Linked DNA regions of Macaca mulatta. The protein of the gene in region 1 interacts with the protein of each later gene in a biochemical or structural test. Links are inferred from orthologs where the notes say so. Each region holds a gene or a part of one and is shown in the gene's direction. Other genes may lie near its edges. The genes, in order: GNAQ, RGS4, PLCB1, RIC8A and GRK2.

The links.
Region 2: the proteins of GNAQ (region 1) and RGS4 form a complex in vitro, tested with the Homo sapiens proteins (3 studies listed by BioGRID). The link is inferred for Macaca mulatta from reciprocal best matches to the Homo sapiens genes GNAQ and RGS4.
Region 3: the proteins of GNAQ (region 1) and PLCB1 form a complex in vitro, tested with the Homo sapiens proteins (2 studies listed by BioGRID, with this or other methods). The link is inferred for Macaca mulatta from reciprocal best matches to the Homo sapiens genes GNAQ and PLCB1.
Region 4: the proteins of GNAQ (region 1) and RIC8A form a complex in vitro, tested with the Homo sapiens proteins (2 studies listed by BioGRID). The link is inferred for Macaca mulatta from reciprocal best matches to the Homo sapiens genes GNAQ and RIC8A.
Region 5: the proteins of GNAQ (region 1) and GRK2 form a complex in vitro, tested with the Homo sapiens proteins (3 studies listed by BioGRID). The link is inferred for Macaca mulatta from reciprocal best matches to the Homo sapiens genes GNAQ and GRK2.

What each region holds. Positions count from the first base shown.
Region 1 is NC_133420.1:109,008,767-109,014,956, reverse strand, and holds the start of GNAQ (guanine nucleotide-binding protein G(q) subunit alpha), read left to right. Parts: upstream 1-2,033; 5' UTR 2,034-2,080; coding exon 2,081-2,216; intron 2,217-6,190.
Region 2 is NC_133406.1:20,799,694-20,805,928, forward strand, and holds the start of RGS4 (regulator of G-protein signaling 4), read left to right. Parts: upstream 1-1,981; 5' UTR 1,982-2,045; coding exon 2,046-2,103; intron 2,104-2,361; coding exon 2,362-2,638; intron 2,639-5,479; coding exon 5,480-5,584; intron 5,585-5,889; coding exon 5,890-5,951; intron 5,952-6,235. UniProt on the Homo sapiens protein: Inhibits signal transduction by increasing the GTPase activity of G protein alpha subunits thereby driving them into their inactive GDP-bound form. Activity on G(z)-alpha is inhibited by phosphorylation of the G-protein.
Region 3 is NC_133415.1:75,849,820-75,856,116, reverse strand, and holds the start of PLCB1 (1-phosphatidylinositol 4,5-bisphosphate phosphodiesterase beta-1), read left to right. Parts: upstream 1-2,524; 5' UTR 2,525-2,530; coding exon 2,531-2,629; intron 2,630-6,297.
Region 4 is NC_133419.1:86,275-90,821, forward strand, and holds part of RIC8A (chaperone Ric-8A), read left to right. Parts: coding exon 1-369; intron 370-937; coding exon 938-1,029; intron 1,030-1,614; coding exon 1,615-1,765; intron 1,766-2,841; coding exon 2,842-2,937; intron 2,938-3,010; coding exon 3,011-3,173; intron 3,174-3,249; coding exon 3,250-3,394; intron 3,395-3,710; coding exon 3,711-3,830; intron 3,831-4,547.
Region 5 is NC_133419.1:7,117,078-7,123,356, reverse strand, and holds the start of GRK2 (beta-adrenergic receptor kinase 1), read left to right. Parts: upstream 1-2,013; 5' UTR 2,014-2,355; coding exon 2,356-2,468; intron 2,469-3,323; exon of another isoform or gene 3,324-3,505; intron 3,506-6,279. UniProt on the Homo sapiens protein: Specifically phosphorylates the agonist-occupied form of the beta-adrenergic and closely related receptors, probably inducing a desensitization of them. Key regulator of LPAR1 signaling.

The sequences.
Region 1 (6,190 bases):
ATATGAATTCTTGATCTGTAGCAAAAGCAAAGTCATGACCATACCTTACACTCTGGATCAGCAGGTTGCACCAGGGACACTTCAGAGAACACATGAAACGTGAAAAAGCGGTTCTCGTCATAAAAGACAATTTTCTTTGAAGATCTCAGATTCCTTTAAGGCAGGAAGCAGTATGAGTTTCACCTCCTGGACCTGATTGAACGAGATTATTTTCGTGTGCTATTTATCAGCAGACGATCACAATGAAATATGCACACGACACTTAACTGCCTCAATCAAATATTGCAAACCAAAAAAACTAGAATGCCACTTTGCTGGGGCCACCTTAGTTTCTCTTCTATTTCATTGTTTCCTTTCCGTTTATTTCATATTATTTAACATTTTCCCATAAGTCATCCATAATTCAATCTCAGTCTAGAAGGGTAAATTCGATTACTCGGCGGTTAAACATTGTGTGCCTTGTCAGAAACAAGAGAACTTGTGAAACAAAAACAATAACAACTTAAAAAAAAACAGAAACAACCAACCACCACCAAAAAAACAAAGGCATGAAAAGTTGGAACCTATCGGGAGGCTGGGAAACTTGGGCAGCTTCCTTTCTCTGCTCAGGATTTAGATTTCTATCTCTCGTTACTTTGCGGACAGCTTCGCCTGTGAATCTCCCCCTGTGCCTCCGGGCACCGGTGCCAATTCCTTCCCTTCCCCAGTTGCCCCCCACAGTATAGAGGATCTTATTTTCTAAGACTGCACCGGGGTCAGAGGTGACACGAGAGTTTCTAACCGAATGGCGTTTTAGAAATAGGAACGGGAAACACAGAAGCGGCTGAGGAGCGTCCCCGCGGAGCACACAGGCACAGCGCGGGAGCCGCGGACGCCAGCGCCGGCGCCGCAGGGAGCGCGTGCGGGGCTCCGCGGGGCCGCCTCCCGCGACTTCAGCAGGGGCCGCGGCCGCGCTCCCGGGCCGGTGGGCTGAGGCAGGCAGAGACCGCCATTTTCCCGCCTCACCACGCCCGGCCGGACGGCAGCCGCAGGTCGGCGGCGGTCCTAGCACGCAGCGGCGACCGCCGGCTCGGGCTGCACGTCGGCGGCCGGGGGCGGCCGTGACCGCGGCGCCAGCGGGCTCTGCCGAGGGTACGGGAGCAGTGGGCGTCCGCAGAGCCCGAGAGAGCCGGCCCAGCCCGGGAGCCGCGCGGGCGAGGCGAGAGCCGCACTGGGAGGCGCGCCGCGGCGGCCGCGAGCCCAGGAAAGCCTTCCAGGAGGGGCCGGGCGGCACCGCCTCCCGGCTCCCCTCCTCCCGCGCCCGTCCCCTCCGCCTCCTCCCCTCCTCCTTTCGCCGCCGCCTCCTCCCTCCCGGATCTGTGCTCCAGTTCAGAGAAAGAAGAAAATGTGTGTGTGTGGCGAGGGGGAGGGCGCGCACTGAGCAGCCGCTCCGCGCCTGGCAATCGGGGCAGGGGGTGGGCGTCTGGCGGGGGCGGGGGCGGAGGCGGAGGCGGAGGAGCGCGCGGTTGCCGGGCGGGCCGGGAACCGGGTCTGCGCGCGAGCCGGGCGGTGGGCGCGGACAGGGCCGAAGGCGCCCGGGAGCCGTGTCAGGCGGCGGCGAGGAGCGGGCGCGCCGGGCGCGGGGAGCCGTCGGCGGCCGCTCGCTGCGGGGACACCCCGGTGGATGAGCTCTCGCCGCCAGGCGCACGGCGTAGGGGAGCCTCACAGGCGGCGGCGGCGGCGGCGGCTCGGGGGGCGAGGCGGGCCGCCCGTTCCTGGGGAAGGAGGCGCGGGCGTCTGAGCGAGGCCGGGCGCGGCGGCCTTCTCTCACGCGCCCCCCGAGCCAGCGCCCGCCTCCCGCGCCCGCCTCGCTTCTCCCGTCGGCCCAGGCCATCCGCTCCCACCGCGCCCCCGGCCCACCTGGTGGCTCCGGCTCCGGCCGCTGCCCCCGCGGCGGTTCCCGGAGCTCGTCCCGGCCGCGCGCCCGGGCGGCGGGGGCTCGGCGGCCACCGCTGCCTCGGGGGAGCGAGGGCGGGAGGGTGTGTGTGCGCGCTGTGAGCAGGGGGTGCCGGCGGGGCTACAGCGGAGGCACTTTGGAAGAATGACTCTGGAGTCCATCATGGCGTGCTGCCTGAGCGAGGAGGCCAAGGAAGCCCGGCGGATCAACGACGAGATCGAGCGGCAGCTCCGCAGGGACAAGCGGGACGCCCGCCGGGAGCTCAAGCTGCTGCTGCTCGGTGAGTACCGCCCGGGGCCCCGCCGGGCCTCTGCGCCCCCAGCCCACCATCCTTGGCCCTGCGGGACAGCTGCCCTCTCGGCGTCCCCCGCCCCCCGGCGCCCCCGGCTAGCCCCTACCCTCCCGGGCGCGCCCCCGGCCACTGCCTTCACCCGCGCGGGCGCGCGGGCGCGTTACACACACACACACACACCCAGATACACACACGCAGGCGCGTTACACACACACACACACACACACACACACCCCCACCCACCCACCCACCCAGATACACACACGCAGCAGAGGGGTCGCGGCTGCCCTGCCGGGTGTCTCGGCTTTTTTCTTTTTGGGTCCCTGAGGGCTGTGCCTTATCTGCTGTGCATCTGCTAAATGGCAGATCACTCCGGCCAGAGGCGCGGGGGTGGAAAGGTGGGCAGAGGGGTTGAACTTCCAGTGTCGTGGCCGCGGCATCCCATGGGGTGGTGGCGCGGGGAGCCGTGTGTGTGGCCCAGCGGGTGGCGAGCGGAGCTGGGGCACGTTGGGAGATGGCCTGCGGTGGGGTGGCCGGTGTGCATCCATTATCAGTGCCCTCTGGGGTCAGGAGGGAATGGGGGAACGGTGGGCAGACTCGCAACTGGATTCCCGGAGCACTGATGATGAGGAAGCCAAGTGGTTGGCCCTCCAAGGAAAGGGCCTGTGTATTGGGGGCGGGGCGGGAGGGCGAGCCCAAATGTGTCACAGAAGTGCTGTTCTCTAGCCACCAGACCATCGAAAGGAGGGAGCCTAGAAGAGTTTCTTGGCTAGTGGATGGTGACAGGCGTGATTCTCGTCTGCACCATTGCTTCTAGATAAAGATGAGGGTAGGGGAGTGTTGTGCTGTGTGGTTGTTGACAGCGACCGGTATCTTTTGTTTAATGAGGCAACCCAGATGTAGGCCTGAATTCACAATAGTTACTGCCGAAAACCAGTGCAGTCTCTCAGTTACTCTCTTGGCAACAAATAGAAACCTTTTGTTTAAAACACATAGCATTTTAATATCTTTGGAATCTGGGCTAGAAGGAAAACGGGAAGCATACAGGAAAAATTTTCCTCTAGTCTTGAAAAAAAATTCTGCTTTAGCTCTAAGTTAGCAAGAAAATGCCATTTCTCAAATAGAAATTTATTGATGATTATCTCAGAGAGGATGTTCAGAATCAAGCGATCAGGATTCACATACAAGCCACAGTGACAGAACCCTGAGCTATTGTGGTGGGAAGAGCAAACAGCTTTGCAGTAACAGGCCTGAAAAATGTCTTGTGTTCTGGATATTTGCATGTATAATAAATGTGTTTCTCAAACATTTCTGTAAGAAAAGAATATTGTACTGTCAGTTGGTGTTTGAGAAGCATGCATTTTCTTTCTTATCTTGAGCATTCCATTTGCTGGCTCAAGGAACCAATTGCCTTTGGGAATGAACTGCTTATGTACTGTATCATTTACAAGCAGGAGCAAAATATACTGATCACACACATAGTTACTAATAGTTAATTCACATGACATGCTTTATGTCTTCATTTTGAAACTCAGATAAATGGGCACATGTTTATAAAGAACTGAAGGCGAAACACTAGATGAAAGAGGTGGGCTTAGGGGAATGAAGCCAGGGAGGAGGCAAACTGCAGTTGGAAAGTAAAGATTTTTTTTTTTTAAATTCTCATTTTGAGCTACTTCTAATGGCTGAAAACAGGCAGTGGAATGTTTTCTGAGTTCTCAAGATTGAGAAGAAAATAAAGAACAAAAGAAATATGTAGAGTGTTTAAGTGCATGATTAAGGGGAAAAGCACGTATTTTAGAGAGACTTGTTTTAAGAATTGTTTGTTTCTTCTGTTGCCCTGTTGACAGTCTTTGTTTCTGTTTAACTGTGAACTGGGCAGTTGAGGTCTCTCCAGCCAACCCTGTTTGCCTGAAAAGTGACAGCTCTGAGTTTCCCAGCAGCTAAGAGTTGAAGCCCAGGGAACCGGTTTGTCAATGGGCCTAGGTTTGAATGTTTAAGGGAAATACACTTACATGGATGCTTAATTCCATACTGTGTGTTTAAATAACACTGTGCTTTTAAAAATGAACTTGGAGATAATTTTCTGAGAAAAAGTGTAAACCAGTTTTACTGCTAAAGTGGTGGTAGTGTGGAGAACTTTTTTTTCCTCTTATTCGCGGAACATCATGCAAGTATTGTTACTGCTTCATGTTCTTGGTATGTTGCCTTTGCAACATAAATACCACAATACACTATATAGTAATGTACGCTAAATGTGGATTTGTGCGTGCATGTGTGTGTATGAGTGTGATTTCAGGAGTTTTTGAATCCAGGATGGTTGATTTCAACAAGGAAGATATTAGGGAAGGATTTCATTTGAGGAATTCCTGATTTGCTGCTTTGATGAGTAGACTGAATGTTCTGGTTCCTTCTATCATTTAAACAAAACCTGTCCAGAGGAGATTATAGAATGTATCCATTCACAGTTTAAAGATCTACTAATATTTTTAACCAGTTTATGGAGGAATAACTGTATTTTGAAATGAAATTCAGTATAAAATTGTTTTCAAAGTAAATTTTAGTTCAAGACTTGATGCCATTTTAATGGAAAAGGATTTGTTTGACAGGGATAAAAGTGGGTACCCTTGCATTTGCTCATACAATTATTTACTTTTGTATATTAATAATATGGAGACATTTAAAAAGGCAAGTAGTAGGTACCTGACTAGATGAAAGTATGGCAGTAAAATTTGGGCTATTTTGATTTATATTCGGCAACTGTGCTAATCTTCCAAATTTATTCCATATGCTTATATATTATATATTTTATTTTAACTTTAGAAACGTGAACCCTGAAATCTACCACTATAAGAATATTACATTAAATTTTGAATTATTTTCTTGTTGTCTTTTAACTTACTCATTCTTTGAATTCATTTATATTAGTGTTTATTTTGACACTCAAAACTTAGTCTCTGCATTCAATGTAGATACACAAGAGCATACTTCATTTTTACTTGGTTAATGTTTTTGTGTATTTTGTAGGTGTAAAGCACATATTTCCTTTAATTGATTAATTTTCATGAATATTCACTAAATATTTCTATTGGTGGTACGTAGATAACCTCATTTAATGTAATTTGTCTGTAAGTCTGTGTAATACAAATGGCCTTGAATGCCTGCTTCATGTTACATATAGTTATCCTGAAATTTTTTTCAGTTCCTAGAAGAAACATTTTTTTCCTATTAACCTGTTCTTATTTTACATGTTTTTGAAGTCTTTTACTCTTTAGATCTTAATTATCAAATAGGATTTAGCAAACCCCCTTTAATTGATTGAATTATCGCTATTGAAACAGGCAAAGTTTAGGCCAGTCTTCTTTTTTTTTTTTTTTTGAGATGGAGTTTTGCTCTTGTTGCCCAGGCAGGAGTGCAATGGCTTGACCTCAGCTCACTGCAACTTCTGCCTCCCAGGTACAAGCGATTCTCCTGTCTCAGCCTCCCAAGTAGCTTGGATTACAGGCATACGCCACCACGCCTAGCTATTTGTTTTTATATTTAGTAGAGCTGGGGTTTTACCATGTTAGGCTGGTCGCGATAGGCCAGTCTTAAATGGAAGACCTTAAATGCTCTTGGAATTCTGAACTGAATTTTGTATATGAGCATAGATTTTCTTCCTGTTGTACACTGCAGACATATGAGAGTATGAGTTGTGTCTGTTTTACTCACTATTAAATCCCAGCTTCAAGCACAATATCTAACTCGTAGAATGTTCTCAATAAATATTGGCTGAGTAAATGAATTTATTTATTACCATCCTGCTGGAAATTAGAACAGACAATAATGAATACATTTATAGAAACATAGGAATATATAGTGTTTTTATCTGTGGCAGATATAATCAGGATCTTAAAAAAATTGTGCGTAACTCTTTGAGCCAATTGATTATAAATGCATTCCAGGATAGGAAGTGTTAATGT
Region 2 (6,235 bases), on another chromosome or scaffold:
TGAAAAAATAAGTTAACTCATGTGAAGCATTTTACAAACACTTTTAAAAAAGTTTTAAAACTCCTAGGAAAGCAAGATTTAATAGTCAAAGAAGTGAGTAAATATGAAATGCCTGAACAGAGTAATGAGCTAAGCACAAAGTTAGAGACCTGGTTTTAATAGGGAACCACCACATTGAGGTCTGCAGCAACTCCTGCTTTCACAGAGCAAGAAATTGGGCAAGTGAACACTCCTTGAATAAAATATGTAAAATTAATTTTGGCTTATGTTCTATACTGTGTATAATAGAATGATAAAAATTATTTGATTAGCACTTCACTTTGTAGTTTAGAAATATCTCTATTTACATAGTTTATCTCATTTGAAAAGACGGTTGAGTGATAGGGTAGCATGGTGGACAATCCACATAACTGAGTATCGAGACACCTGTATGTGGACCCAGCTCTGTTAGTGAGAAGCTGTAACCTCAGCAAGCCACTTTCTCTTTCTGGGTCTCTATTTCCTTTTTGATGAAATAAGGGCGTTAGGCTACATTGCCTTTAAAGTCCCATTTTGTCTTTAAAGTCCCATCTATTGCAGTGATTTATATTTAACTCATGACAAATCAGGCTTCTCTTATTCTAAGTCCAAGAGATAAAGCTCTTATTGTGGAATTTCAGGCATCAGTAAACCTTTTCGGGTCCTCACTTATGTTCCTAAAATCAATCTGTTTGAGTGATCACTCTTTTAGGTGTCCATGTAAACAAAGAAGGCTGTGGTCTTTCTTTGAGTGACCTTCTTTCCCTTTTAATTAGTGTGTCCTCTTTAATGTCAGTTCCAACTGATTCCTCTCCCTGGTCCATCTTCCTTGGTCTAAGGGCCTCCCTAATTTCACATTGCACTGCAGTTCCTTCCACACCACCATCAAGAATGGCTGTCAACATTCACTTGTTCTATGTTATAATTCAAGGAAGAGTTGCCCAGTATCTACTCTAATAAATGTCTTTCTATCTTTATGGGCGGCTAGAGGCTTTTTCCTATAATTTAAATGCATCTTCGGTAGATTATGGTCCCTCCACCACCTTACATTTGTCTGCTGTCTCCTTGCTCTGCTAGTCATGGAAGGTGTTGGTAGTGGGAGCAGTGTGGGATGTTCAAGGGCACGTATTGGGTCGGGCCATGTATGGGCATTGCTTTGTGACATTCTTTCTATATTTTTGGTATTTTGCATTTCACTGGAACCTAACTATTTTTCATCTCTTCCACCTAAACCATTTGATGCCTCTGTTTCTTAAATATAAAGTACAGCTCACTGTAGCCTATGATCAGGAACCTATCTGCTCTCAAAATGAAAGCTGTTTTGGTCAGATCTAGCAATTAATTCTCTTCTTCCACTTATAGCTTTCCTCTGTAACTCTGGTGTAGGTATTTGATATATGGCTATAAGATGTGAAACACCTGAATGATTCTCTCCATGCAGGCGTTTCAGTTTATGATATTGTACGTAAAAGATACTAATTGTTCAGGTGTTCAGAAACACCTATAGGGCTTAATATTCTTAACGATTCGTTTTAAGGCTGGTGATACGCAAAGCAAACTACGTATTTTTCTGCCTGCTCTGTCTCTTTCTCTCTACATCCCTCTTTCTTTATCTTTTGAAATATCAGTTTGGAGACTTAGAATTACATAAGACATAAACCCATTTGATATAAGAATTGCTGTGTATATTTGCTCACCTACTCCCTCCTTTGGTCCTCAAGCTGCTGGTTTAGACTTTTTACAGGACACAGGCATGTAAAGGAGAAACTGTCAGTGCTAGGCTGAATTCTGTTGTTACCAAGATTTCTAGAAAAGTATTCCTCAGTCAGGTTGATTACGGATATAGCAAATCTATTTTTCCTAGGGTAGTTTCTCTATGCAGCCGGGCTTATAACTGTCTGTCATCCAGCTATTTCTCTCCACCTTCTTGTTTGCATAACAACCAAGGCAACTTCTGCAAATCACTGCGTGGAGACGATGATCCTGCCAGCTCCCTTTTGGAAATCGTGAGGATCAGATCTGGGACCATGTATCATATGATGCTTCTAATCCAAAAGAGGAAGGGCACTGGGAGTCAGCTCCTAAGTAAGCTTCAGAATTCCTGCTGGTACTTTTCCTTCCAGGAAGCAACTTTCCTTGATATTGTTTTTTACAGAAATATGAATGAATACTATATTTTGCAGCATTGTACACTTTTTTCCTTTTCTAGAAATTCTAAACCTCTGACACTGGTAGAGACATTGAGTACATTTTTTTCCATATCCCTACTTTGCTGAAGGATTTTCTCTGCTCGTTCACTTAGCATTGCTGATGCGTCAGTCTTTTCCTCCTCATCTCTTTCAGGGGCTGGAGAGGCAGAGGGAGACAGAGGAGCTGGTACTGCAGAGCTGTCGTCTGATTGGCTGGACCGTCGTAGCTGGGCTATAAAAGAGACCCCTACAGGCTTAGGAGGAAGACGCTCAGAGGATTCTGAAAATATCTTTACCGGAGAAGAGGCAAAGTACGCTCAAAGCCGAAGCCACAGCTCCTCCTGCCGCATTTCTTTCCTGCTTGCGAATCCCAAGCTGTTAAATAAGATGTGCAAAGGGCTTGCAGGTCTGCCGGCTTCTTGCTTAAGGAGGTAAGATTGCTTTCAGTCATTAACCGTATTAAACTTTTGGATAGACTTTCTCAGTTATTTACATGTTGTACTTACTAACCTAGTTCTGTGCAATTAGAAACAGTGTGGTCAGGAGAGCACGACTTTCTAACTTTCCTCCAAGACTAGCTAGATACTGTGACTTAAGACATGTGCTCCCCAAATTTCAGTCCTTATGTATTGTTTCATGTGACCTCAGTTTTGAGAACTGTTCTTTAAGCCAGGTCTAAGCAAGCTAGTTTTAATTAAGAAGTGAGATGAGGCTTGAGGCTATGTATAGTGGTCTGCAATATCTCCATCTGTGATTACTGCTGTTATTTAAGCATCCCTGGAGTACATAGAAGCCTGGGTCTGGGTTTTCTGATTGTATGCTACATCTTGTTTCAGGAAAGGTACCCCAGAATGAGGTTTGGCTCCATCATCAGAAAGGCACTATGCTTTCTGTGTAGTGCTGCAGTATCTTTCACTCTCTATGTTCTTATAAGCAAATGTTACAATAAGATATGAGTTCCAAAGCCAGATCTTCCTTATCTCTCTGCCCCATCTCTAGTTCTTAAAGTGTCTTATATGAGTGTGGTTGAGAAGTATTGATCATTACAAATCAGTTAACAGTTTTGTAGATCTCACCTTAAAGATATTGTTTTGTTAATATACTCTCTTGATTTTTTAAAAAGACTTTACAGACATACAGCTATTCATTTGTTTTTCGTTTGTTCAAAAAAGGTATAAACAAATGCATTCAGAGAATGATCGTATAGTAGTCAGTTGAAAATTAAACACAAAATGAGTGCATATTACATTACTTAATCTTGCAGTTAAAGGTAAAAAGTCAATCTAAAGGTATACTACCTGCTTTCTTATCGCGCTGCAAATAGAAATTACCCCAAATTTTATTTTGGAAATAGTCTCAGAAAACATAATTTTTTATGTACTATTAAAACATTTACTTTTCAAATATTCTGTCATTCAGGAGTATGGAAGTATCTATGGCTTCTTTAAAATGAAGCAGGAGGGTCTGGCAGAGAGTATCTATGAAATAAGTTCCTCTGACCTTCACGCTTAATTTTCTGAATGGAGTGGAGCAAATTACTTCAAGCTTCAGTTAACTTACATATGAAATGAACTATACAAAAATACAAGAGTGTCAGGAGAAAGTTATGTCCTGGTAAATATTTTGCAAAACAGATAAAAGTTAATACTAGAGCTCTGTCCTCAAAGAGTTAAGCAGCTAATCTAAGGAGGTAAACTCTATGTCAGCAGAATGAACTGCCCTTCCCTTTCCTCACCAGTAAATTGCAAATCGTCTAGTCCAACATCTTTGCCACCAGTGCCTGAGGCTCCACAGGAGCCATCGCCTGCTCAAGGTCACATAGGTTGGTGGGTGAATTAGGACCAAATCTAGATTTCCTGACTCCAATAACTTCTGAAGTCATTTTGGTTTTTATTTTTATGTTTTTTTTTTTTTTAAATAAGAATACTTGCTAAGCACACTTAGCCCCTGCATTGATCAACAACTCTCAGATCTCAGGTGGATCCAGCACATAGAAATATGAATTCATTTCTATTTGGACTTCATGATATACTTATATTATCACCTTGGAATCACCCTAACATTCAGGATTATATCCTGTTATCATCAAAAAAGATGTTGCATCCCCTGAGCAGTCATCAGTCAGGGAAGCAGAGGAAGGAAAGTAATCTTGCAAGGAAGAGAAAATACTATTTAAGGGGCAGTCAGAGAACATAATGGAATTCAAACTTTCTGGGAAAACCTACATACATAAATGTATTAGGGGCTATGTTAAATGTCTTTCTGTCTTTGAGGCTTTATTTTCCCCACTCCAAATAGACACATTTAGTTATTCATTTCTCTTAAAATGGTATTTCTATTTTTAAATTATTTCTTGGCCTTTTTAATAAAAGAGATGCAAGCAAGAGGATATTTAATAAAAAGTAAGAGAGTTGAGCTTAAGGCTTATTAAAAGACCCCCTTTTTCTAGTTAGTCAGGAGCCCTATTGTGCCAGGCTACCTATTAAATGGTGGCAATAAATGGTGGAAGCTCAGTGATGACTCTAGCCTGCTTCTCCTAATAGCTTTTAAGCCTCAAATGCCCTTTAGAGTGTGTATGTCCTTTAAAGTAGCATTAAAAAGGAAAGCAGCAGCAGCAGATACTGTCTGGAAAGAAGCCCCAAGGGGCTGAGGTTTCAGCTTTTGGGCATTTGCTTTCACCGTCCCATGTTCCATTTCCCTCTGCTGGGGCTGCGCACCTCAGTGTATTCTTCCTCTATACCTCATAGCAGGAACTGCGTGGCCCCCACATACATGACTGGAACTGAATAGACTTTTACAGTTCCCTCTGCCTGCAGGGGAACAGATGGAAATAGCAATCACCTGCCAGAAGGTGGCGTGCAGCAAGGATGTGCATCTTTTGCCGCTACTGCTTTCCAACTCCTAAAAATTACTCAGAGATCACTCATGTTTTCAGTGATTCAGGTTCTACTGAAGATACCAAAGGTATTCTGTTGGTCAAAATGACAGGCATATAAAGGCTTCTGAGGTTTCTGAGGTAAACTGAAGGGTCAGAATTCCAGTTGTGAATGAAGGAACTAGTGTTACGACTCTGCCTCAAGGTTTTGTAGCAAGTCGTAGGGAACCAAAAGAGGAATCTTGTTTTCCTGAGAGTTCATGCCAACTCCAACTCCCATTCCCTAAACTGTCTCTGAGCCATAGACTAGTAATGGACTCTTCAAGCTCTATCATTAGGTATCTTTTAAAGAAAGCTGGTTATCACTATTTATTCATTATTTTTATCTTCTGTGCAGTGCAAAAGATATGAAACATCGGCTAGGTTTCCTGCTGCAAAAATCTGATTCCTGTGAACATAATTCTTCCCACAACAAGAAGGACAAAGTGGTTATTTGCCAGAGGTAAGAGAAAAGGCCTTGGTGAAGATCTACTGAGTATTAACTATCTGATGATAGAGATGTTCTGTAAGAGGGAAGTTGTGCTCCTAGTTAAGCCAGATTTGGATCAAGATAGCCTCCATTTTCATGGAGATCTTAACTACATTTGAAATGTCTATACATTTAGTGAAAAACTGCCCTCATCAATAACATATTTTGTCATAATGATGGAAAATAAAATCTCTGCCTTTATTCGGGATCTTAGATTTCTTACCCCAATTTTTTATCATGACATTCCAATTATTCTGTTTCTCTCTATTTTTTTCTAGGGTAAGCCAAGAGGAAGTCAAGAAATGGGCTGAATCACTGGAAAACCTGATTAGTCATGAATGTAAGTCTGACAGCAACCTGGGATGAGGTACTCTGGATAAGACAAGTTACATTATGCCGGTCTAATAGAAACTGCAGCAAGGCCTGGCTTCTTTCTGATGTTCAGACTCAGGAGACTCTTTAGGTCTTAAATTCAGTCTGTTTATAATTTTAATATGCCCTAGAGCCTTGTGATATACAATGAAAAGTTTAAGCAGGAACCATGTGGAAAACCATCTCTCTCATCACAAGGAAAAAGGGAAGAGAGAGAAAAAAAAATGATAAATATCGATGCCTTCTTGCAAA
Region 3 (6,297 bases), on another chromosome or scaffold:
CTACCACAGGAGGCTCAGTCTACTTTCTTATTTTGCTTAGAGCTCATTTTAACTCTCCTATCTCCTCTTCTAGTGAGCGCAGCCTTGTCTTGCCTTCCTAAGCCACTGTGATAGGTAAAAACTATTTGCCCAGTAAATAACAAAGAGATGGAAGGAAAAAAGGAAAGGAAAGGAAGGGAAAGGAAAAAAATTTGATATGATCAGTTGTAAGGACAATTGAGAAGTCCTGGAGCCCCGGAAGAAGAGTTTCATTGCAGTACTCTGAAGTAGAGAAAATGGATGTGAGAAGGTGACTGGTACCTTCTGTGAGGTAATTAGCAAACCAAGGCTGCTGGCTAGAGGGACTGTGGACTATTCAGGTTTTAGTTTAGGGACATGTGATCAAAATGAAACAAGTCAGTTTTTCATGAAATTCTTTGTAGCAAGTGGCTTCCAAGCACAAGGCAAGACCCCCAAATGAGCAGGAATCATGGGTCTTGTTCACCAGGTTATCCATGGTGATTACAATAGTGGCTAGTATACAGCTGGCTACCAATAAGTATATTTTAAATGCATTGAAATATTTAATAGCAATTTTCTGTATTGGATTTTGGTAATCTTTTGACTGAGTTCTTAAACATTGGGCCTTGGAGTCCTGAGGGCAGAGAACAGGGAGAATGAAGAATTAAGAGAAAGTAGTGTTTCTCTCCATTTTTCTCTCTTCATGGTCTTTCTTCTTTTAAAAAATCAACCTGTTTGAGATATAATTTACTTAAAACAAACTGCACTCAATTTAGGCATACTTACAGAACGTACAGGTTTTGATAAATATACACACGTGATATAGAACATTTCCGACATGTTCAACAGGTGCTGGTAGCCCTTCCCTGTCCATCTCTACCTATCCCTGGCCACAGGCAAGCTTTCTGTCAACATAGAATATGTTGCCTGTTCTGTAGTTGCTACACATGGAATCATGCTCGTGTCCGGCTTCTTTTACTAAGCTTAAAGTCGCGATTCATCCCTGCCCTTGCATGCCCACTCATTTTTATTGTGGAATAGTATTCCAATGTTTGGGCATACCACAGTTTGTTTATCCATTCACCCGTTGATTGACATATGTGGGCTACTAAGAAGAAAGTTATTCACATCACTTTACAAATCCCTGTGGACTTGCATTTTAATTTCTCTTGCACAAATACCTAGGAGTGGAATTTCTAGGTTGTATGATAAGTAAATATCTTACTTTATTAGAAACTGTTCTCCAAAGTGGCTTTACTATTTTATATTCCCTCCAGCAATGAACGAGAGTTCCAGTTGCTCCACATCCTTTCAAGCATTTGGTATTATCAGTCTTTAAAATTTTATCCATTCTGGTTCCCCTCTTTCCCTTCTTCCCTCCCTCCCGTGCTTGAATTGAGAAATGTTTGTGGAAGGAGTGAAGACAAACATTCCTGGACCTACGTTCCTAAATGAGCAAGTTTCTATTAGTAAGACTCTCCCCGACCCGCTTCACATCCTACATACTCAAGGAGAGGCGCGGGAGAGGGGATCCTCTTTCTTCCTTGGAAAATAAAACCTTTGCTTTCTTTAGGGTGGGCTTTCTATCTCAAAAGCGCAAAGTAACCGTTTGCCCAGGTTTCAAGATCAGCGCGCTGCAAACTCTCAGCCGTGGCGAGGTTTCCTCAAAGAGCCTCTCAGCTGCGCTCGTCTCTGCTGATAAATGATAATTCTTTTCTCAAAAAAGCTGGTTTGTGGCCGGCGCTGGAGTGCTCCAGCTACAGTTGAAAGCTGCGGGTTGCCTCCGGTTCCTCCGAATGGGTCCCTTTTCCCACCCGGTTGGGATCCAAAGACGCTCCGGAACTCGAGCCCAAGTTCCCAAGAAAACCCCAAAGAGCGTAAGGCTCCTGGGGACCCCTAACACCCCTGCAACCAGGGCACCAGGCATGCTCAGAGCGAATGCGGGAGGCAGGCGTTGGCTGCAATGGGGCTCAGGAGCCAGGAGGTGCCGCTGCATCCCCGCTTCCTGGCGCCTGACCCAGCGTGCAAAGTTGGGCTGGGAGCCGCGGGGGGAAGGAAGGACCCAGCGAGCGAGGGTGGCGGGGAAGGGGGTGGGGGGAGGAGGAAGGAGGAGGGAAAAGAGCGCGGAGCGGGGGCGCCGGGCGTGTGTCACTCTCTCTCTCCCTCTGTGTATAGAGGATGTGCTGAATGGTGCGCTTTGAGGCGGCGGCGGCGGAGGAGCAGAATCCGCCGCGACTGGCAGCCTCGGCTGCCCGGCTCGGCTTCTCTTCGCCTTCCGAGGCTCCTCATCCACCGCGGGTTCCCGACCTCGCGTCCCGCCTGGGGCATGGCCCGGCGCTGCGCCCCCGCGCGCTCTGCCTGCTGAGCGGCGCCGGAGGGAGGTGCGGAGGCCGGGAGGCCGGGGAGGCCGGCGGGGGAGAAGAGTCGAGCGCCTCAGGAGCAGAGAAAGGAGCCCGCGCCCCGCGCCCCGCGCGCGGTTCCCAGTCCCTGCCGCGCTCGCCCGGGCCGCCCGGAGCCCAGATGAGCCCAGATGGCCGGGGCTCAACCCGGAGTGCACGCCTTGCAACTCAAGCCCGTGTGCGTGTCCGACAGCCTCAAGAAGGGCATCAAATTCGTCAAGTGGGATGATGTAAGTATTGGGGCGGCGCGAGTCGGGGCGCTGGCTCGGGCACCGGGCAGGGCGGGCGTCGTGGGGGTGGGGCGAGGGGCGCGTTATGCAATGGGCGCACTGGGAGCGGGCAGGGGCCGCCTCGGGCGCACAGGTTGGCATCTGCCAAAGCGGATGTCCAAGGGCAGAAGCTTTGCGCGCGCTCCTGTTTTATCGGGCTTTAGTAGTTGCCATCCTTTCTGGGTCTGGCAAGCGCCCCCTGAGGGTCTTAAATCTTTTGGGCCAGTGGAGAGGGAGGGGCAAGCTTTGCCTGGTGACAGGTCCTGAAAGTTCGCGAAGTAGGGAGTGTGAAGTTGAGACCAACTGGAAAGCGCCTGGTGTGAACAAGTCGCGTCCCTCTCTGCCTGCGGACGCACCCCCTATTACCTCTTTTGCCCGATTTCAAGAAGGAAGGGCCTGAAGTCCACAACACTTAGTGATTGCGAACCCTCTTAGCGCTTTTGTGGGAGCCCACGCGGCGGAGGACACAACGGTCCAGCCAACAGGTGGTCGTTGATGCCAAACTTCAGCGCCTGGCTCCGGAGTGAGGGTCCCTGAAAAGGGCTGCGGGGACACATCTGGGGAGGGCGTGAACAGAATGGGGGCCCTTGAGGGGTCCTGGAGGACTCACGGGCCTGCAGGCAAGTGGAGAGGGCTGACTTTTGAGAACTGAGCTGATTGGAGTCTTCTGCCTGAAATAGACACGTTGAGGGGTTGCCCCAGGACTTACCTGCACCATTTGCCAGGTAGGGCAGAGCCTAGCCCAGCGCCAGGGTCTCTAATGCTTTACGTGCAGCCCAGACCCCACGACTTCAAATGACTTCCCCTTCCCCTTTACCCCAGTTGTCTTCAAAACACATAAATTAGTCATCCAGCTGAAAACATGCGAATCTTCTGATGGAGAGCATTATGGCATCAATTTTATGTCCTGGGTGTCATTCAAAAGGTTCGATAAGAAAAACCTACCGAAATAAATCCGAGTTGCCAGGTTCTAAGGAAATTTAAGTCCAAATGACTAATACATCTCTTAATCAGAAGGAATTATAGGAGAATGAGGCGTTCTTCTTGCCGAAAAGATTTTCCACCTAGTAAATTATAGCCTGTTATTCTCTAGGGTATTTTTCTTTAATCTTCTTAAGCCATTTTCCAGTGTCTGAAAACAATTTAAATATTCCAGGTAGTGAATCCAATTACTTAGCTGAGTGCGTCTGTGTCTATATTTTGTCCAGCTGGAAGCGCAAATGGAACTTGGAGTATGAACCACAGCTTCCTTGAAAGCTCATGCCAATTATTAAATGCTGTAGGCAAGGATGTAAACATACATCTTTTTTACCATGGGCTTCACACTTTTCTTCTTTCTGTTCCAGTCTAATTGGACTGAATGTTTTTGTAAATGGAATAGAATCTAAACAATAAATTCAGACGCAGATTAAATTCTTTGTGTCAGGGAAAAAAAAAAAGACAAAGAAAATGCAGTTCAGCAATAAATAAGACAGTCTTGCCCATTTTGAGATCCTTGAATAGAGAGGTGATGTGATGACGGATTTACTGAGAAAGAGAGTGAAGGGCAGAAGGAAGAGAAAGAGACTTTGCAGAATTTAAAAAGGGAGTTTCAGCATAAGCTCTGGATTTATATACAGTGATGATTCTAAACTGTATTTTAAATAATTCTCTATAATTTCTTGTTTTGGAGAAAATAGCCAACATCACGTTGAGAATGAAAGTATTCTATGAAAACACATTTTGATATATCCAGGTAGATGACTTTCATTATGTACCTTTCTGTAACACGTATTTCTTGCTCACCTATTATTGCCAATCCTAGACTGGATCTTGGGGTGGTGAAAAAGTAGACAAAATCCCTGCTGTTGTGGACCTTACATGCTAGGTGGAGGAGACAAAAATCATCAAAACACCAATGAGAGAGAGATTGGGTGATGCATTGAGGGTAATAGAGAGGATGTTCGTGAAATACCAACCAAAGAAGAAGTTGAAAAGAGCTCCCTCTGAGCATTGCAGCAATGAGTTTCCAAGGAAGCCCTCCTGGAAGGAAAGACGTAGGCACTAAGGAGAAGGCCAGTAGAATCTCAGGTGTTTTTTTTTTTTTTTTTTTTTAAACAACAAAACAAAACAAAAAAAACCTAGACTGCACTCAGGAGTCAAGTTATCTGGAATATAATGAGCTATACTGCAGGCTCTTTGGTTCTCTGGGTCTTCATGCTGATCAGTGGACTACAAGGGACCCAGCCTTTCTTAGGGTTGCCTTTTTCCTCCCCAGGCATCCCTCATCTACTCTTCTCAGCTCATATTTGCCCTTACAGAATCAAGCCAGTTCAAGTTATCTGGCTATTTATATTGTACCTTAGTGAGACAGTGTGTTGAAGACAAAAAAGAACTAGATCTTGAATCAAAGGCCTCAGTTTACCTCTTAGTTGTTTCACCAGTAAGCTACATGACTTTAGGCCAATCACTTAACTTTTCTGTATGTTTGCTGCTGCTTGTGTAAAAGTGTGGTAATGTTACAGGACATTCAAAAATGATGAATTTGGGGCTGTTTAGGATGTGAAGAAATTATCTCTTGTTCCTGAAGTGATTAAAGCAGTATAATCACTGGTCTTGTTGTCCTGACCACCATATGGAATGGAAGATGTCACCCAGAGGGTGCAGTGCCATGCATAATTTGTTGGCCACCTACTAAGTCACGGTGAGGCTGTGGATGCTCTAAGGGTGGTAGTCAAAAGCTTTAACATAGGCACTAAACAATTACAACAGACAGCAGGTGCGTAATAGATCCTGGAAATACCCTGTTGTACCAGGGCCAGGCATTAATGTTTTTGCTGCTTGATCATGAGGAGGTCTGGGAGTCCCCAGGGTCTGTGGATGGGTGGATAGGTAGGTGGGGTTTTTTTTGACTATTTCAGTATTTTAAAACTCATGGTGTATACGGTCTGAACATCAAGGCTATACTTGTCCTCCTGAACTTGGCATGAAGATAAACCACTGACCTAATGATATTTTAAAAATTCAACCTCGTATCTTTGCTTTTGTTTTGCATTTGTCTATTAGCAGGCTCTGGTGGTAGGAGGTGGGTGTTAAGGACTGTGGGTATTGTGGAAGAATTCTGGTGAGGTAGACAGTGGAAGGAGAGTTACTTTCTTGATCTAAGCTAGGGAGCTTGGGAGATTGTGAGAGAAACTCCTTTCTCTTCTGGACCTTGGCCTTGGTCTATATTGGACAGGACATGGAGAGAAAGAGGAACGACTGTAAACTGTACAATAGGACCTCCAACCACTGATTTGGCCCTGTTTTCCATGCTTAAGCACTCTGTCTCACTGTCCCATAACCTCTGAGGGATGGAAGGGCTTTCATTTGTTTATTCCTTCTGTTTCTTCATTCTTACCTTTCAAATTCAGATCTTACTGTGGGCAGGTTGCGTAATGCATCCCAACTTCAATTTCCTTAACGGTAACATGCAAATTGTAATATTTCCTAACTCATAGAACAGCTGTTGAGGTTAGATGAATGAATGCATATACATTGCTTTGTAAAAAGCCTGATATACAGGCAACCTTCCATAAAACATGTTTTTAAGTTATTGTCCCTCAGAAATAAGATGGATGTGAATTTTATCAAGGTGGTTAGTAGGTGTT
Region 4 (4,547 bases), on another chromosome or scaffold:
AAGTGCCTGTGCAACCTCGTGCTCAGCAGCCCTGTGGCACAGATGCTGGCAGCAGAGGCCCGCCTAGTGGTGAAGCTCACAGAGCGTGTGGGGCTGTACCGGGAGAGGAGCTTCCCCCACGATGTCCAGTTCTTTGACTTGAGGCTCCTCTTCCTGCTAACGGCACTCCGCACCGATGTGCGCCAGCAGCTGTTTCAGGAGCTGAAAGGAGTGCATCTGCTGACTGACACACTGGAGCTGACGCTGGGGGTGACTCCTGAAGGGAACCCACCCAAGCTCCTTCCTTCCCAAGAGACTGAGCGGGCCATGGAGATCCTCAAAGTGCTCTTCAACATCACCCTCGACTCCATCAAGGGGGAGGTGGACGAGGTGAGCCCTGACCTCAACCCATGGATGGGTCTCAACTCAGCTCCAACATTTCCTGGACCTGCTTCCCACTGGGTACCTTCAGGTTTCTGGGTGTCAGACATGGAGAGAACAGGACCTCCCAGCGTGTTGGGACAAGGCCAAGGAGATGCCAGTTCTGGGCTGGGACCTTAGGGGAGGATTCTGAGGGAAGTAGAGGCCCCTTCTGGCTCTTGCTGCCTGGCAGGGGGCTGTGTGCTCTCCGGGGAGACTGTAAGAGATCCTCCACCATGAGGCTGTGAGTGGGGCTGAGACAGAGTGTGACTTCATCCCAAGGGTGTGTGTTAACATTCCTAATCAGGGACGTGCTCTTAGAAGAATACTCATGGAGTTTTTAGGAAGACAGCAGTGGTCATCTTTTGCCCCCAGCACTAGCCAGAGTCACCTAGGAGACCCCAGGGGACCAAGTGTGCAGTACAGGAGGTGCACAGTCATTGCCACACAGTTCTGGAGTGCAACAGACAGTAGAGCCTCAGCAGGCAGCAGTGGGATGAGTGGGGCTCCTCACAGGAACCCTTCTTTCTTTGGTCAGGAAGACGCTGCTCTTTACCGACACCTGGGGACCCTTCTCCGGCACTGTGTGATGATTGCTACTGCTGGAGACCGCACAGAGGAGTTCCATGGGTGAGGATGGGGCTTTTTCTGGGAGGGAAGTGTGTCCACATGTTTAGATGGTCATCCTCAGCCCTGGCCGTGAACCAGAACCACCTGAGAGCCCAGGCCCCACCCTAGAGGGTCTGACTTTGTCTGGGTGAGTGAGACTGGACATCGGTGTGTTTCCAGAGAATACTGGGTGCTTCTAATATGTGGCCAGGACAACAGCCATGAATTTGGGGGCAGGAATGTGCCACCTGGGCCTTGGGTAGTGGCAACAGACAGTGTGGTATTTACTAGGGCACATTGGCTCCTTGTCCCCATTCTTGGTCCACCTGCCCCTTGGCTGGTGTGGTTTCCAGAGATGGTCTGGCACTTTGGCCCAGACAGGGTAGGGGAGGCAGGGTGTCTCAGCCCCCACTTCCCCAGGGGACCCCACTGTACAGCTGAGTGGCAGTGCCTCTCAGATCAGTCCCTGCCCTTGGCTTTGGTCCCCAGTGCCGCCCCTTTGGGCCTCAGACGCCAGCTCATGTAATGTGTGGTTCAGTGGGGGCACAAAGATTGCATCTGTGCTGAGGGATTAGCCCTATTGAGACCCCCACCTCCATCTGTCAGCCACGCAGTGAACCTCCTGGGGAACTTGCCTCTCAAGTGTCTGGATGTTCTCCTCACCCTGGAGCCACACGAAGACTCCGTGGAGTTCATGGGAGTGAATATGGATGTGATTCGTGCCCTCCTCATCTTCCTAGAGAAGCGTTTGCACCAGGTAGGCTGGGGATGGCTGTACAGGCTCCCCCAGTGGCTCTGGCACTGGTTCTCCTGCACAGCTGTGGTCAGTGCTTCTCCACTGGCCACATTGGTAAGTGGAAATCATCTTGGTGGTGTGATACAGGTGATTCTTCCGGCTGTTCTGTGGTCCAGCCTGGCAACAAGCTAGACCCTTCCTTCATGAGAAGCATGTGGACACCTTCCACACACTTGAAGGTTTCACTTCTTAAATCTTTGTGGATCTTTATTGAGTGGTCCTGAGAAGCCCCCAAGTCCCTGCTTTTAACTCTCAGACACAGGCAGCCCTTGACTACAAGCATAGCTGTCCCTCAACATCCTGAGGAGACCCATAGGAACCTCAGATCAAAGCTTCCCTCTGATTCCTGTGACTGCACTACAGGGCATCTGGATAGCTAGGGCTCTAACCATCCTCCAGGAGCTTGCAGAAAGCAGGCTGGAGCACAATAAACCGAGATTTAGGAGACCTCTCGGGAATCTACCTGCCTAAGCAGGGGACACACATGGTGCGTGAGAGCCAGTCAGGGTAGGGAGCTGGCACTGGACATACAGCCGGGGGGTTGTCTGTGCCTGTCGCTGTCGCTGCCACTGCTGGTGCTGGGGTCCAGGCACATTATGCTAGGAGGGTCAGGAACTCCCTGCTCTCTGTCCATGAAGTACCCAGAGTGGGGATTCGGTTCTCGTTTCTTTTTGCCACCAACATCTGAGGGCAATGTGTGTGCCAGTCTAAAGCTTTAATTGCTTTGTGTTTTCTTCCCAGCCCTGGTTTATAGTTGAGGTAATTAGACTTAAAGCAGTTATTTCTCCCAAGTCACCAAGCTTACAACAAGTACCTCTGAGTGAAGCTCTGTGCCCGTCCTTTTCAAAAGTGACACAGACACCCACCACCCACTCTTGGCCTTCTGCTGACTAACTGCAGAGGGGCCTCTTCCCAAACCTGTGCCACCAGGACCAGCTGCTGTGTATGTTGGTGGGAAGGGGCGGTGGGGGGTGTAACTCTGCGCCAGTCTCAAATTAGGCAGGAGCACAGCCACGGTGACAGAGGCTCCTCTACAGACACACAGGCTGAAGGAGAGCGTAGCTCCCGTGCTGAGCGTGCTGACCGAATGTGCCCGGATGCACCGCCCAGCCAGGAAGTTCCTGAAGGCCCAGGTATGAGACTGAGGAGCTGGCACTCCTGGGGGATGTGGTTTCGGCCCTGATCACAGACCAAGCCCAAGCTTAGGGACGGCCACCTCCCCAGGTGCTGCCCCCTCTGCGGGATGTGAGGACACGGCCTGAGGTTGGGGAGATGCTGCGAAACAAGCTTGTCCGCCTCATGACACACCTGGACACAGATGTGAAGAGAGTGGCCGCCGAGTTCTTGTTTGTCCTGTGCTCTGAGAGTGGTGAGTTATGGAGATCCGGGTCCCAGCGCCCCCACCTCAGCCAGGCTTGCACACTGACCTCTGCCTTGCCCCCCAGTGCCCCGATTCATCAAGTACACAGGCTATGGGAATGCTGCTGGCCTTCTGGCTGCCAGGGGCCTCATGGCGGGAGGCCGGCCTGAGGGCCAGTACTCGGAGGATGAGGACACAGACACAGACGAGTACAAGGAAGCCAAGGCCAGGTGTGTGCCCCCAACACCCCCTCGGGTCTCCACTCAAAGCCCCTAGTCCCTGCTTCGACATCCATGTGGACCACTGTAGGGTGGGACAGGATGACCAGTGGGCAAGACCTTCCAGAATCAAGCACCTGTCCCTAAGTGCTATCTGGGATACCAGAAGGTGGCAGGTGGCAGTTGCTGGTTACCAGTGCCGCTTCTGGAGGGAGGCCTCTTCCTGCAGTTGCCTTGCCCACCTCGCCCCACTGGGAAAAGAGGTGGCTTGCCTCCTGTCCTGGAGAGTCACTAATGCATTCCCCACATTCCACCTGCTGGGAAACAGCATAAACCCGGTGACCGGGAGGGTGGAGGAGAAGCCGCCTAACCCTATGGAGGGCATGACGGAGGAGCAGAAGGAGCACGAGGCCATGAAGCTGGTGACCATGTTTGACAAGCTCTCCAGGTGTGTGGCATGATGAGGAGGGGCCTGTAGCTGGGAGAAGAGAGAGCTGACCCACATCCTGTCTTGTGAGCCCCAGGAGGTAGGATCAGAGGAGAGCTTAGGATCCTGGTGTTAGGTTGCATTGCTGATGTTTGAAATCACTTGCCCTAGAGGAAATCCCCCCAGGGGATGGGTGTATTGAGATCAGTATTGTGCCCATTTTACAGATGATAACTGAGGCCCAGAGAAATTAAAGAGACTGTCTAAGGCTGGGCATGGCAGCTCACGCCTGTAATCCCAGTACTTTGGGAGGCTGAGGCAGGTGGATCACAAGGTCAGGAGATCAAGAGCATCCTGGCCAACATGGTGAAACCCCGTCTCTGCTAAAATACAAAAAAAAGTTAGCTGGGCGTGGTGGTGGGTGCCTGTAGTCCTAGCTACTTGGGAGGTCAAGGCAGGGGAATCACTTGAACCTGAGAGGCAGAGATTGTAGTGAGCTGAGATTGCGCCACTACACTCCAGCCTGGCGACAGAGTGAGACTTCGTCTCAAAAAAAAAAAAAAGAGATGGTCTAACATTGCTACACTTATTGGAGATGGCCCAGTGTCCAAATGAACAGACTGCTTAAGACCAATTTAGATGTCTAAATTAAGAAACTGCTTAAAGCCATGAGGTAGCAGTTAGGATTTGGGCCCAATTAACGGAAGGTCCAACCAGGCTTCCCCCGTAAATGAGAGC
Region 5 (6,279 bases), on another chromosome or scaffold:
GATGCAGATATGTAATGAGACTTCACTCCCCACTCTCAAAACTTGCAATGATGCATCTTGCAATGATGCATCTTGCAACTGAAGATGGAAAATAGGGCCTAGAAGGTGGGAAGTGTAGAATTGGAGATGTACATAGTTGGGGTCAGGGAGTCAGGGAAGACTGCCGGGAGGAGGTGAGTCTTAGCGGATAAGTAGGAGTTGGCCAGGGAGGAAGGTACACAGAAGGGCTTCCAGGCCCAGGAAACAGCAGAGGCACAGAAGTGAGAATGGGTGGGTGAGTTGGTGGGGGAGCTCCAGGTGCAGAGGATGGTAGCAAAACAAACGGGAGCATCCAAGGTCCAAGTCCTCCAAGATCTTGACTTGCAGATTAAGGAGTTTGTTCACCTAACCTGCTTTGGGCAGAGTGGGGTGAGTCCTAGAGACCCCTCTAGGTCTCTCACTCTCAGTAGCCCCAGAAGGCCTGGAGAGCTGCTTCTTGGTGCCAAGCAGGCAGTGACTCCATCAGATCTAGACCTGGGAAAGGCATCTCTGGTCAGGGCCTGCATCAGGGCAGTGGCTGGCCATAGGACCCTGAGAAGTAGACAGATTCAAGGAGATTCTCAGGAGGCCAGACAGGAGACTATAGTGACAAATTAGAGAAGGGGAGAAAATGAAGGAGCAGTTAGGGAAAAGAAACCTGGGGCTCACCACTCACTGAGAGGAGAACCTCACTAGCTCTGATATGCTCTGGTTCCAGGTTCTGTTGGGACTGATCCAAGAAGGTAGCCTAGAAGTGCACAGAGATGGGAGCCTTGCTTTGCAAAAGGATCCTGGTTGCTGGCCCACAACATGGTAATGAGATTTGAGCTCTATGTGCCCAGGGCTGGGAGGAGGGTCCTATCACTTCAAAAGCAAAGAGAGGGTCTAGAGAGGGGCATGTTGAGATAGGACTGCTGCCTTGAGACACCTGGCTTTCCTCACTCTGGGTGGGCTCTCGGGTGGGTTTCCCCTACCAGGCAGCACTGAAACCTCTGTGCCCTCCCAGGCTGGGAGAGGTTTCACCCTACATGTGGAACCATCCTGAAGGAGCGTCTAGATGGGATGGGGTACACGGAAGGGAGCTGCCAAGAGTGCTGGCCAGGGACCTGGGTCTACGAGCCTGTTAGGGGGTGGGGTTGGGTGTAGGGTACTTGATCCAGAGTGGGCCTGCAGGGGCCAGGATTGGTTCTAGAGTAGGAGGGGTGGGATCGGGGATGGGGGAAGGCTGTAATTGGACTGTAGTTGTCAGATCCCAGGTTCTGGGTGACCTACTAAGGATTCTGGGTCCAATGTGGGTCCCAGGTTAGATGTCCTAGTCCCAAGTCTGTGTCCACAGTTCTGGGTGTTGAGCCTAGGACAGTGGTCTGGAGTTGATAGTCCAATCTAGGTCTGAGCCCTGACCCCAAGTCTAGGATGCAGGGTCATGGTAGTGGCCTAGGGTCAGAGTCAAGGTTGGGGTCAGTAACCAGGATGAGATCGAGGTCATGGTCCAAAATCTGGATCTGGGGAACTGTTAGGGGTCTGGGGTGAGTGTCACAGTCTGGGTATGGCGTTGGAGACCCAGGGCTGTGATCTGAGGTCATGGTTAGAGTCTGAGGTGGCGGGCAAAGGTTTGAGTCTGGGGTCCTGTTTGGAGTCTGGTGTCAGGTCGTGGACTGCGTCAAAGGTCAGGGAGTCTGGGGTTATAGCCAGGGTCTGAGATGAAAGCCCCGGGGTGGTGTTCAGAGGTCTGAATCTGTGTCTTGGTGAGCGTCCAGGTTCCTTGTGATCATGTCTGTTGTCAGGACCACGGCCTGACTGGAGAGCCTGGGATTCAGAGATGTGACCCGAGGTTGTGGTCAAGGAATGGGTCTGGGATCGTCTTCCGTGCCGGGTCCCTGTCTTGTTCCAGGCCCGGGTCTCCGTCCAGACCCGAGGTCACCGCCAGGATCTGAGCCCTCTGTCGCAGGTCTCCGCGCGGCCTCCAGGGGGCACCATCGCCCGCCCGGCTCGGCCACTTGCGGGCTCGCTGGCGCTGTGCGCGGCAGGCGGGGCCGGAGGCGGCGGCGGCTCCGGGGCGCGGGCGCGCGGGCGGCGGCGGCGGCGGCGGCGGCGCCCCGACTGCAGTCCCGGCGGGAGCGGAGCGCGAGCCGGGGCCGGGCCCGAGCCGGCGCCATGGGGCGGCGCCGCCTGTGAGCGGCGGCGAGCGGAGCCGCGGGCGCCGAGCGGGGCCAGGCGGGAGGCGTCGGCGCCCCAGGCCGACCGAGCCGCGGCCGGACCGGGCCGAGCGCCGAGCGAGCGGGAGCGGCGGCGGCGGCGGCGGCGGCGGCGGCGGGAGGAGGCAGCGCCGCCGCCAAGATGGCGGACCTGGAGGCGGTGCTGGCCGACGTGAGCTACCTGATGGCCATGGAGAAGAGCAAGGCCACGCCGGCCGCGCGCGCCAGCAAGAAGATCCTGCTGCCCGAGCCCAGGTGAGGAGAAGTCGCCCGCGGCCCCGGCCCGACCCCGCGGGCACCCCGGCCGCGACTCCGAGACCCTGGCCCCACACTCGACCCCGCGACTTGGACCCCCGGGGCCGGCTCTCGCGACCCTCTGTCGGCCCCCGAGCCCGGAGCAGCCCGGCCGTGGCGCCTGCGGGTCCAGACGCTAAGCCCCAGACCCCGGGCGCCTGAGCCCGGAGCGCCCCAACTCCGGAGCTCCTCTGCCCCTTCGGCCCCCGGGCCCGCTCCGGTCCCGCCGGCCGCCCTGCTGCTTCCTTATCGCGTTCCGCCGGCCCCCCGCTCCAGTCGCTGTCAGCCCCTAGCTCCCGCCTTCTCCCACAGGGGCCCGGCGCGCCCCTTCATCCTCCTCCGAGCAGCCCTTGGTCCCTGTGGGGTCCCTTCCCCTCCGCCGGCCACCATTTACCTCGCCTGACGATGTCACCCACCCTTTTGCTGTCCCTGCTCACGGCACCCGCCTTGGGGTTTCCACTACCCCCACCCGTCTCCCCTCCAGTCTACACTTGTGTGAGGTGTGGGGGGACAGCCAGTTTTCCGGACTCTTCTCCCACCCTCTGGTGGAGTCGCTATCCTGTAGTTGGGCTTGAGAGTGCTTTCGGGGCGGCGTGGTGAGCAGGACCTAGGGTGCTGCGGACGCCCTCCCCCTCGGACCGCGCTCAGGTGGGGGAAACATGCCGTGCCCTCTCCCCCACATTCCTTCTCGGGCGTGCACTGCATATGGTGCCCGGTGGGTGCTGTTGACCAGGGGCCCTCCCAGCACACTGGCAACAGCTGGACCTTAGCTGCCGCCCCTGTAAGACAACTGACATCACACCTGGTATCAAAGTTTAGACTGTTCAGGATGTAGGTGCAAAAGTACACAGGATGTGGACGATTGCTGCGGTTTGTCCAGCTCTTTATGGCTGATGGAGTATCTCTCCACTGTGTGAGCCTCTCAGCAGCGAATGGGGTGGCCAGGACAGGTGTGGTTTTGTCCCTGTGGAACAGGTGGGGAAACTGAAGCTCCAGAGGTGAGTGGCCTGCGCCAAGTCACACAGGTAGTCTCAGGTGGCACCTGGCCAACAGATCAGGGCTTCAGACTTCCGGTTCTACATTTCATTGGCTGCCCTGGCCTGCGCCAGGGAGCAGATGTGCCCGCCACGGTCCTTTGTGTCGTGTGGCAACTCCTCGTGCATGCCTGAGAGTTAGCCTCCTGGTGCCCCAGCAGGCTGGGAATGGGGCCTGTCCACACTGCCGTGGTCTTATCTTGTGACTGTGGGCAAGTCCCTTCCCTCACTGGGCCTCAGTCTTCTCATCTGTGAAATGTGGATGGCGTGAAATAAGAGTTGTGACTCTGTGATGTCCCTCAGCCTTTGAAGTGTCTGTCTAAGCCTGGGCTGACGCTGCAGGGGTGCCATGCCCATGGCCCTCACCGGCCCCCTCTGCCATGCCCTGCTCACTGGGTGTTTGGATTGACTGAACGTCAGGCCGGGGAGAGGAAAATTGGTCTGCATTCTGAAAAGGCCGTTAGGGCCTTTTTTTTCTAAGATATTTGCAATCAGATTTCTCAAAACAGGAACCAGACTGACTGTCAGCTGGGGGCTGTCCAGGGAGCAGTGACGGTTAGTGCAGAAATGAGTTCAGAAATGACAAACCCACGAGGGAGGAAATGGGGGAGTCAGCCTCTAGGGCTCAAAACGGCTCTCCTTCGTGGCCGCAGCTTTGAGACCCTCCTGCAGGATGGAGTTCGGCAATGTGTGAGGTGGGACCTTTTCTGGAACTGTCTGCGTTCGTGTACTTTTCCCCCCAGAATGCATTGCTTCTGATGGGGTGCCGCCTTGGCTCTGCAGGTGTCAGAACCCGGAGAAACGAGATGTTCTTCTTTTCCTGTCCCCTTTCCCATCCACAGCAGTGATGGCGATGATAGCAATAATGATAGGAGTTATTACTGACTTACCTGTTTTGACATCTGTCCTCTCAATTCTTCAACCAACCTGTGAAGCTGGCAAGGCCATGCCTTGCATGTAGTAGTTGCCCAAGAAATACCAGGACTGTGTGACGCCCCAGGCAGTCCTGAGCAGAAACAAGGTTGGATAGGATTCTAGGAGGACAGCAGGAGGCGGAGCCAGGCAGCCCAGGTTTTCACATTGGGTCACCATCAGCAGCATGGCCTTCCGCAAATTGCCCACATCTGTGAAATGGACTGGAGGTGCGAGCGCCGAATGTCAGTGTGCTAAGGCCTGGGAAGGGCTATGGGCCACCCCTACATGGGGGTCCAGGCCTGGGGCATTAGGGAGCAAGCCACCCTTTGCATAATGCCTTGCCTTGCACACCCAGTGGGGCAGAGCGCACCCCCCGCCGCCCCGATGGTGATCCTGACCACGTCTCATGTTTGCCCGACACTTTTCCGTTTGCAGAGTGCTTTTTACTCCATTTTGTCCTTTTGACAACTGTGGGAGGCAGGCCCAGCAGATGGGATTCTCCCCTTTAGCAGTTGAAGTCATTGAGGCTCAGGGAGGGGAGGAGTCGTGTTCTCGTCACAGAAGAAAGCTGGAATGGGGCCTCAGGTTTCTGGACCACACAGGCCAGTGCTGTTTCTCTGCTGTGCTTTATCCCCTCCACCCACCCCTGCACACCACTGTTCTCACCCCTGTCCACATTTTGCGGCGTGGGCTGACTGGCACCGCTTGTCTGGGGCCATTGGCTGTCACAGTTCACAAGGCTCAGCCCCCTTCCTGTTGGCTGGGATGGAGAATTGAGCTGCCCTGGCAAAGCTACTGCCTCGAGGGGCAGCTCCACTCCGGGGTCCCATCAGATGCAGGAGCCTGTCTTCCCCATACCCCCAAGGTCAAGGTCAGAGTCAGGGAGAGGGGCTGTGGCTTGTCCCCGTGACAGGGTGCCTCTGGGAATTGTTCACACCTTGAGGTGGCCCACCTTGGCAGTCCCTCCATGGCTGGTGCCTGGGGATGTGGCTTGGCCGAGAGCTGGGGCTGGCATCACAGCTCTGAGTTCCAATGCCTAGGGAATGGGAGTGGTTAGGCACAGTGCCACATTGAGTTGGTACAGGGGCCTCCCCTTCTGTCACCCTATAGAATCCGAGGAAACAGTCCCTTTCCCCGACCTTCTTCTAGAAGGAGGCAGCGTAAGGCAGCATTGTGTATCTGGAGGATGGGAGACCTGGCTTCTCCCTCTACCACCAGCCCACATGGGACCCAGGCCAGTCCCTTAGCCTGACTGGGCCTGCCTCGTTTTCCACCTTGGTAAATTTAGGGGGCTGCCCCTTCACTCTCAGGGTCTGTGGTCTGGACCTTGCCCTGAAGGAACTGCCGTCTCCCTTTCCCGGCAGCCAGCAGTCTTGTAATTTTCATCATTTGCTTGATATGACCACTGAGGCCTGGTGTAATTAATCTCTGGGCTCCTAGCTGAGGAGCCCTGCCTGGGCGCTCCCAGGAGGTTCCTCTGCCCTCCCCAGTGACAGTGGCAGCCCCAGCAGCAGATTGTCAGAGCCAGGTGCCTCTTGCAGCCTCCCGATTTCTTGGCTGTTTCCTGGTCCCTCCCCACCGAGAGTTTCCTCCTTCCTGCCCCTTTCTGGCTTCCCTGTCTCCCCAGACCCTGCCCCTGTTCCTCCGCTGCCTCGTTCCTGTTAACTCTTTGCAGCCAGAACTTCCTGCCCTTGATTTGTGGGGGAAGGAGTGCAGCGGGAAGCTTTTTCCCTCCCTCCTTCCTCCACTCCTGCGGCACCAGCTGCAACCCTGCTGCTTCCAGCCTTTGTCCCTTACCCAGAACTTTCCACTTCAGTGGCAGC